2 linked regions of the Macaca mulatta genome follow. The protein of the gene in region 2 purifies or fractionates together with the protein of the main gene of each other region. This does not show direct contact. Links are inferred from orthologs where the notes say so. Each region holds a gene or a part of one and is shown on either strand. Other genes may lie near its edges. The genes, in order: AXIN1 and PPP2R5A.

Region 1 (4,498 bases), on a different chromosome or scaffold from region 2:
GGGGGAGGCGCTGTTAGGAAAGGCCCTGAAGGGCTGTGGGCACCAGAGAGCCCTGGGAGGCCTAAAGCAGAGGGCAGATAGATGAGGGTCGTTGGCTCAGGTGTGGGGTGGACGAGGTGGGGAGCCCTCACCCAGCAGGAGGCGAGCTGGTCCTGTGTGGCCTGAACTGCAGCTGTCTCCTCTGTTAAATGGGGGTATAGCTGACCCCAGGGGGCTGCCTGGGGCGTCCTGGGAGGTGTCAGGCCCAACAGTGCTCTGGGAAGGACAGGGCTGATCCTGGTACTGACATCCTCCTCCTTGGGGGAGGCAGGGCCTGATGGTCGGCTGAGGCCTGGGTGGAGAGCAGAGGGTTGGTTCTGACAGGGTTGGGCTGGCCAGAGCTGGTGTGGGGGCTGCTGCTGGGGTCCTGTGCCTCTCTGCTGTGGGATGCCTGGGGCTGTGGCCTTGTGCTCTGTGGCCTGCAGGGCAGGTGGCACGGATCTGGGCAGCCAAGATGGCAGGATTGGACTGCACCCCTTGGCAGGGCCGCTGTGGAGACAGCCCAGGGGAGGGGCTGCAGGGTTTCAGACACTCCAATGGCCTTCCTCTCAGGCTGGCCTGGGCAGCGGAGGGAAGGAGAACCCTTCTCTGATACTAGATGGTGCCTGGGAGAAATCAAGGCAGAGGGTCCTAGCCGGTGGGCTCCTTGGAGGTTGTGGCTCCTGTCCGGGTGACAGCCAGCACATATTGGGGCCTAATGTGTTCCCTGGCGCTGTGAGTCCCGGCTGCCTGGGGACTCAGGAGGGTGGAGCCCACGCCACCTTCCAAGGGACCTGGCCATCCCTGCCTGCCGACCACCCAACTCCTGGGAGCCTGCTTCCCTCACGGCGGCTGGCAGGCCGTGGCGGTCTCCGCGGGGGCCTCCGGTCCAGGGCCGGCGGGGCAGGGAGCCCCGAGGCCTGCAGCCCCCTGGATGCCCACCGATGTACTGGCGGCAGAAAAGGGCTGCGCCCCGCGTGCGCCCGTCGGGGCGGGCAGTCCGCCCAGCGCTCCCCACGGTCGCAGCCATTCCAAGCACCTGCAGCGGCGCCTCCCCCACTCCGCACTCCGGGAAGCCGCAGCCGCCGCGGCTCTGCTTCCGCGTCGCCCCTCGGGAAGACCGCGCGACCACGCCCCCGCCGCGCCCCGCCCCCGGCAGGGGCTGACCACACCCCTCTCCCGCTCACGCAGAGGCCCTGCCCCATGCTTCTCACCTCGTCCTCGCTTCCGGCCCCGCCCCGCGCACGAGGCTCCGCCCCACGCTCGTTACCTCTTCGGCTCGAGGCGGGCCCCGCCTTGCTCCCTGGCCGCAGCCCCACTCCCAAGGCCCCGCCCTGCGCTCTTCACCTCGTCTTCTCGCTTCCGGCCCCGCCCGTGCTTGGGCCCCGCCCTGCGCTCCTCACCTGTCCAATCGCTGTCTGCCCCGCCCCACGCTCCTCACCTTATCCTCGCGCTTTCAGCCACGCCCCGCGCCTGAAGCCCCGCCCCACGCTCTTTACCTCGTCCCCTCGCTGTCGGCCCCGCCCCGAGCTGAGGCCCCGCCCCGCGCTCTCACCTCGTCCCCGCGCCCCGGCCCCGCCCCCGCACTTCCGGGCGCCGCCGGCGGGGGCGCTCGGGCCTGGGCTTCGGCGCTCTGGGCTCGGGCTCCGGCTCCGGAGGCAATCGTGGCCGCTGCCGCCGCCAGAGCCGGCCGGAGTCGACCCGGAGCCGCGTCCACGCGGAGCGGGCGGGTGGGAGCTGGCGGCTGGGCCCCTGCGGCGCCCCCGCGGCCTGCCCCGCGTCCGCCCCCGGGCCGCCGAGCCGCAGCCGCCGAGATGGGGGCCGCCCCGGGCCGCGCCCCCGCCGAGTCCCGCCCGCCGCGCTGCCGCTGAGCGCATGGGCCGGGCTGCGCCGCGCCGCTCCGGGAGCCGGGCCCGGGGCCCCGCCGCCTCCGCGCGCGGGTGAGTAGGGCCGGGCGCCGGGGCGGGCTAGGCCGCGCTAGGCCGGGCGGGCGGGACCCGGAAGCGGCGGGGGGCGCGGGTGGCTGACGCGCGTGGGGCCGAGGGGGTGGGCGCGCGGGGAGCTGGGGCAGGGGTGTCCCTGGGCAGCGAGACCGGCGGCGCGGGGGCCGCTTGGAGTTCCGAGGCCTCGGGCGCGTCTGGGGGCGCGGAGCAGCTGCAGGGGCCGCGCATCGCGTGCGGGAACTCCGGGAGAGCCGGGCCTGGAGCCCTCCCCGCCTCCCAGAAGTCGGCAGGAGTCCGGCTGCCCCGGAGGAGGGCACTCCCGCCCGCCCTCGCCGAGGCCGCGTACCGGGTCCAGGTCGCGGTGCGGCCTGAGTAGCCGCGTGCTCAGGCGTTCGTGCCCTCCAGGTTTGATGCCTCGCTGCCCAAACACTCGTCTCTCTCTTGGGTGTGGTTCCTAGATTCTACCTCCCGCCCGGCACTTTGGAATTTAGCCCCCAGTGAAACCAGAGCTGCATTGCCTGAGCAGTGAAACTTTCGGCTTGGCATTGAAGAAAGTAGAGAAAAACATGTCAGTTCTCTAGGGATTTTTCTCAGCCCATCTATAAGGTAATTTTTTTTTTTTTTTTTTTTGTAGAGATGAGGTGTCACTATATTGCCCAGCAAGTGTTGTTGAACTCTTGGCCTCAAGCGATCCACCTGCCTCAACCTGCCAAGGTGCTGGGACTACATGCGTGACCACCGCCCCCTCTAAGATAATTTTTTTTTTTTGAGACGGAGTCTCGCACTGTCGCCCAGGCTGGGAGTGCAGTGGCGCGATCTTGGCTCACTGCAACTTCCACCTCCTGGGTTCAAGCAGTTTTCCTGCCTCAGCCTCCTGAGTAGCTGGGATTACAGGCATGCGCCACCACGCCCGGCTAATTTTTCTATTTTTAGTAGAGACGGGGTTTCACCGTATTGACCAGGCTGGCCTGGAACTCCTGACCTCAGGTGATCCGCCCACCTCGGCCTACCAAAGTGTTGGGATTACAGGTGTGAGCCACCGTGCCTGGCCCCTTCTAAGATAATTGATAAAGGGTGCAGTGCAATAGTGCGATCTCTGCTCACCGCAATCTCCGCCTCCCAGGTTCAAGCGATTCTCCTGCTTCAGCCTTCCCAAGTAGCTGGGATTATAGGCATGTGCCACCAAACCTGACTAATTTTGTATTTTTAGTAGAGTTGGGGTTTCTCCATGTGGGTCAGGCTGGTCTCAAACTCCTGACCTCAGGTGATCCGCCCACCTCGGCCTCCCAAAGTGCTGGGATTACAAGGGTCAGCCACCACACCTGGCCTCAGTTTCAGTTTTAAGATCTCCATTCGGGGACAAGGATGGGAAAGCATGAAAAACAGTGTTTTTGTTTGATTTTCAGCTGGTGTTGACTTGGATTTCTAGTTTCAGAAAAGCTAAGCAGACTTTTTCGGATTACATTAGTCACTGAGAATTTCAGTGATGGGGGAACAAATTACATGTGAAATAGTAGCCCTGAACCTTCAAGAGTTAAATCAGTGGACAGCTGGGAAGATGTCAGAGTCGTGCTGTTTTACTTGCATCCTCCATGTAAATCAAAATTTCAAAAGTTAAGTTTGGGTAAAATAAATACCTACACACGTAGGTAGCACTGAGTTTGCTGCCATGGTGCCTGGGGCATATGCCTAAGCAGTGATGAAAGGGAATTTTAAATACGATATCAGACTTGTAGGCATCCTGCCCATTTTATGGACTCACTTTATTGATGGTAGCTACAGGCTGTGGGCCAGATTCAGTGCTTGCGGGCATTTGATGCTAACCTGAGTAAACATAACTGCTTTATGTGTGGTGTCTACGTGTGTGTACACTAAATGCTTGGTGTGCTTCCATGTGGAAACCCAGAGATTTCAGGAATTGGGATATGTTTTAACAACATCAGTAACTTGTGGAGGGGTTCATGTGCTTCCAGGGACACCAAAAAGTCTTCTGTCAGTTGACAGCCCAAAATACACATGATTATAAAAAAATTTTCTCCTGGGCTCTGAAAAATAGTTTAAAATAATTAAGGTGGACTTGGTTCACACATGAATTAAAACATTAGTTTTGGGGCCAGGCAAGGTGGCCTGTAATCCCAACACTTTGGGAGGCCGAGATGGGCAGATTGCTTTGAGCTCAAGAGTTTGAGACCAGCCTGCCCAACATGGTGAAACCCCATCTCTACAAAAAATACAAGAATTAGCCGGGCGTTGGTGGCTCCTGCTTGTAGTCCCCGCCATATGAGAGGCTGAGGCTGGAGAGTTGCTTGAGCCTGGGAAGCTGAGGCTGCAGTCAGCTGAACTCGCCCCACTGCACTCCAGCCTGGGCGACAGAGCGAGACCCTGTCTCAAAATAACAAAAAAAACCAAAACAATAAAACCCATTAGTTTTGGAAGAATTTGCTGCTGTTTTCTGTAGTACAGTAGTTCAGCATCTGTAGAGAGCCAGTGTTTGGCATCTGTGACAAATGTCTGTCTTTTTTACATCAATGAATTAA
Region 2 (3,808 bases):
CATTCAACATAAAATGTAGAGAAATTTTGTAATTCAAAATATCAAATACCTCTGTCTTTCAGCTTTGTATGAGCTAGTAAGGTCATCGAAAAGCTTGCCATTCATTTCCATTAGGGTTTTCAGCACATTGTATACCAGTGCTACAATGGTCCTGAAATGAAAATGAGCCAGTCCTGAGTTATGATACTGCTAACAGAGAGGAAATGTTAACACTATGGTCTCTAAAATGGTTTAAAGGTTGGCTGATTCATTTAATCCATTTTAGAGATGATAAAACTGAGGCTCAAGAGGTTTGTAATATGCTCAAGGTCATACAGCAAGTGGTGGTAGAGAGAGTCTAAGAAAAATCTTTTCCACTTTATCATGCTTAAATTGTAGTTAAAAATGTTCACTATAGTTATCTTCATTTCTGCTTTACAGTCTCATGTCTGAAATCCTGAGTAACAACATTAAAAGATGAAAAAGATCCAATTACCAAAACTTATAAGAAAAGTAGAAAGCCAGATAAGGATGTTAAAGAAGTTAGAATATATTACCCTTAGCACTTCGGCTTTCCCCTAGGACAGTGCCACTTATAGAGGTGAGACTATACACTGGGAGCAGACCAACACAACTCTGCATTAACGAAGTAGTTTGTGCATCCTCTGCAAATGTTCAGTTGGTCTCTCCAACAGGGTTTCACCACACTCTGGTGCAGAATGGTATACCAGATAGTCCACCCTCCAGGGAGATTTGCAATTTTAAATTGATATGAAGGCTGGGCACAGTGGTTCATGCCTATAATCTCAGCACTTTGGGAGGCCAAGGTGAGATCATCACTTGAGATCACGAGTTTCAGTCCAGCCTGGGCAATATACTAAGACCTCAAGTGTCCAAAAAAATAAAAATAAAAATTGGCTGGGTATGGTGGTGTACACCTGTGGTCCTAGCTACTCGGGAGGCTGAGGCAGGAGGATTGCGTGAACCCAGGAGTTTGAGGCTATGGTGAGCTATGATCACACCATTGCACTCCGGCCTGGGCAACAGAGCAAGACTGTCTCTAAAAAAAGTTAAAAAATAAATTGACATTAAGACCACATAGTGAAGAACATACACACACATTTATAACTTGATAAAGGTATATGTATATAAAATACAAAACAGAATACAACTGATGTTAACCTTGGAGTAACTTCCAAATCTGTAATAGGTTTCAGGTATGAGTTAGGAAATCAATGACAAAAAGGTTTTAAAAAAAATAAAGAAAGAAAAATAAAAATACGACCTATATAAAAGATACTTACGGATTCCAGTGTTCTTTGGAAATTTTGTACAAACTGGCAAACATAATTGGCAGAATTTTATCAATGTTCTCCTCAATCAAACTAAGAATATATTCATTATTCCAGAAGTACAATGCCCTTTCTGCAACCTAAAAAAAGACATTTAGAGAAATGTCAAAACTAAAATAGGAAAGAAATACTAGTGTAAAGTAAGGGCTTCACTGAAAACATCATACCTGAAAATGAGAACTGGATACACACTTGGATATCTGCTTGAAAAGTGGCTCTTCAATTTTTTTGAACTGTGTTGGTTCAATGACATCTAAGATTTCTTCAATTTCTCCTAAAAACATCACCTAGGTTAAAAAAATTTTATTTTAAGAAACATGATAAATTATGTGAAACTAATATAGAAACCATACAAATGAGAAGGTTAATCTGCAGAGTATACAATGGGCAAAAAAAATGTCTGGGTGGCACAGAGTTTATTATAGCACAAGTCTTCTACCAAGTCTGTGTACATCTCCCGCTCGTTAGCAACAGCAATACAGCTAGCCCAAAGCAGCATAGCCCTGGGATTGACAAGTTCTAGTAAAATGCACTACATTTAGTGAACAAAACCCACCTCTTTCTGACTGCAGGTTTTTGGCCAAAATTTCAGCAGTCCTCTGATCACCTGCGAAAAAGAAAAAGTTTAGCGTGAATTTAACAATGAAGCTAGTTAATCCCAGGGTATTTTCCATAGCTATGATTATATCAACACTCATTCTGAAGTAAATCAATATTGCTTAATATATAAGTGTATAAGCAGACTTTCTGCTCAGCTTTAGAATTTTATTAATTCAACAAATATTTACTGAGTGCCTACTATGTACCAGATATTGTTCTAGATGCTAGGGACACACTGATGTATAAGATAGATGAGGTCTCTGGTTTTCATAGAGCTTACATTCTAATGGAGCAAGACCAATGCAAGTGATCAATTAAACACATAAAAATTTAATAGTATGTGCTGCTACTTTTTTTTTTTTTTTTTTTGAGACAGAGTCTCGCTCTGTCGCCCAGGCTGGAGTGCAGTGGCCGGATCTCAGCTCACTGCAAGCTCCGCCTCCCGGGTTCACGCCATTCTCCTGCCTCAGCCTCCCGAGTAGCTGGGACTACAGGTGCCCACCACCTCGCCCGGCTAGTTTTTTGGTATTTTTTAGTAGAGACGGGGTTTCACCGTGTTAGCCAGGATGGTCTCGATCTCCTGACCTCGTGATCTGCCCGTCTCGGCCTCCCAAAGTGCTGGGATTACAGGCTTGAGCCACCGCACCCGGCCAGTATGTGCTACTTCTAAGAAAATAAAGGAAAATACAAGTTGGTGGGGTAAGAGGGAGGTTATTTTAGGGAGAAACCTTAAGGAACAGATGATTCCTGTTATTTAAACCAGTATGAAGCACAAAAAAGAGCCGGACAGCTTCCCAGTCTATTTCATGGCTAGTACAATCTTTATAACCAGAATACAATGAAACAAAAGAGACTATTCTTATTTATTTATTTATTTTGAGACGGAGTCTCACTCTGTCGCCCAGGCTGGAGCACAGTGGTGTGATCTTGGCTCACTGCAACCTCAGCCTCCTGGGTTCAAGCAATTCTCTGCCTCAGCTTCTCGAGTAGCTGGCATTATAGGCGCCTGCCACCGCACCTGGCTAATTTTTGTATTTTTAGTAAAGACAGGTTTCAACATCTTGGCCAGGCTGGTCTTAAACTCCTGAGCTTGTGATCTACCAGCCTCGGCCTCCCAAAGTGGAGACTATTTATTTAAATAAACATAGTTGAAAACATTTGCATTAAACTGAATCACAATAGAAGAATGCTATATGCCTAATTGTAACTTATTCCAGAAATGCCAGGATGGTTCGATTCATAGGTTAAAGGGGGAAATAAAAAACAGATCATTTCAAAAGATTTTCAAGTCATTTGACATTTTTAATTAACTATATATTCTGATAAAAAAAATTAGTAAGCTAGAACTAAATGAATTTATCAGAAACCACCAGTAATCATTCTACACAATGATTTATTAGAGACAGGCTGTAAAACCATCTAGTCCTGGTGGTTTTGTGGAAGTAGATCTTTGATAGCTTTTTAGGTTACTTTATAGTCTGTCTGGTTCAGTAATGTGGAACACTAATTCAAATTAAAATTGAGAAGAATATTGTTTTGGAGATAATCCAGTAAGATAACAATGTGATGAATAATGTTGGAAAGGAATACCAGAATTACAATTACTTGTGTAAATATATATTTATATATCCCCTAAAACTTAAAAAAAAAAAAAAAAAAACCTGCAAGTTACTAGAGTAGGAAAATTCAGTATGTGGCCACATTAAAAAATATGTATATAAAAATCAATACCTTTATAAAACATCAGTAAAAATCAGATGAATAATAAAAAAGGTACTTTTCATAAGAACTGTAATGTGCATAAAGAATAAATTTGCAAGAAATATTTAAGACATATGAAGAAAAGTATAAAACTTTACTGAAGATCATAGAAGATT

Evidence for each region.
Region 1: the proteins of PPP2R5A (region 2) and AXIN1 purify together in Homo sapiens (affinity purification with western blotting; 3 studies listed by BioGRID and IntAct, with this or other methods). This does not show direct contact. The link is inferred for Macaca mulatta from reciprocal best matches to the Homo sapiens genes PPP2R5A and AXIN1.

Annotation. Positions count from the first base shown.
Region 1 is NC_133425.1:1,567,041-1,571,538, reverse strand, and holds the start of AXIN1 (axin-1), read left to right. Parts: upstream 1-1,683; 5' UTR 1,684-1,958; intron 1,959-2,074; exon of another isoform or gene 2,075-2,366; intron 2,367-2,419; exon of another isoform or gene 2,420-2,567; intron 2,568-2,595; 5' UTR 2,596-2,597; coding exon 2,598-2,675; intron 2,676-4,498. UniProt on the Homo sapiens protein: Component of the beta-catenin destruction complex required for regulating CTNNB1 levels through phosphorylation and ubiquitination, and modulating Wnt-signaling.
Region 2 is NC_133406.1:70,093,115-70,096,922, reverse strand, and holds part of PPP2R5A (serine/threonine-protein phosphatase 2A 56 kDa regulatory subunit alpha isoform), read right to left. Parts: intron 1,939-3,808; coding exon 1,888-1,938; intron 1,619-1,887; coding exon 1,499-1,618; intron 1,412-1,498; coding exon 1,284-1,411; intron 152-1,283; coding exon 50-151; intron 1-49. UniProt on the Homo sapiens protein: The B regulatory subunit might modulate substrate selectivity and catalytic activity, and might also direct the localization of the catalytic enzyme to a particular subcellular compartment.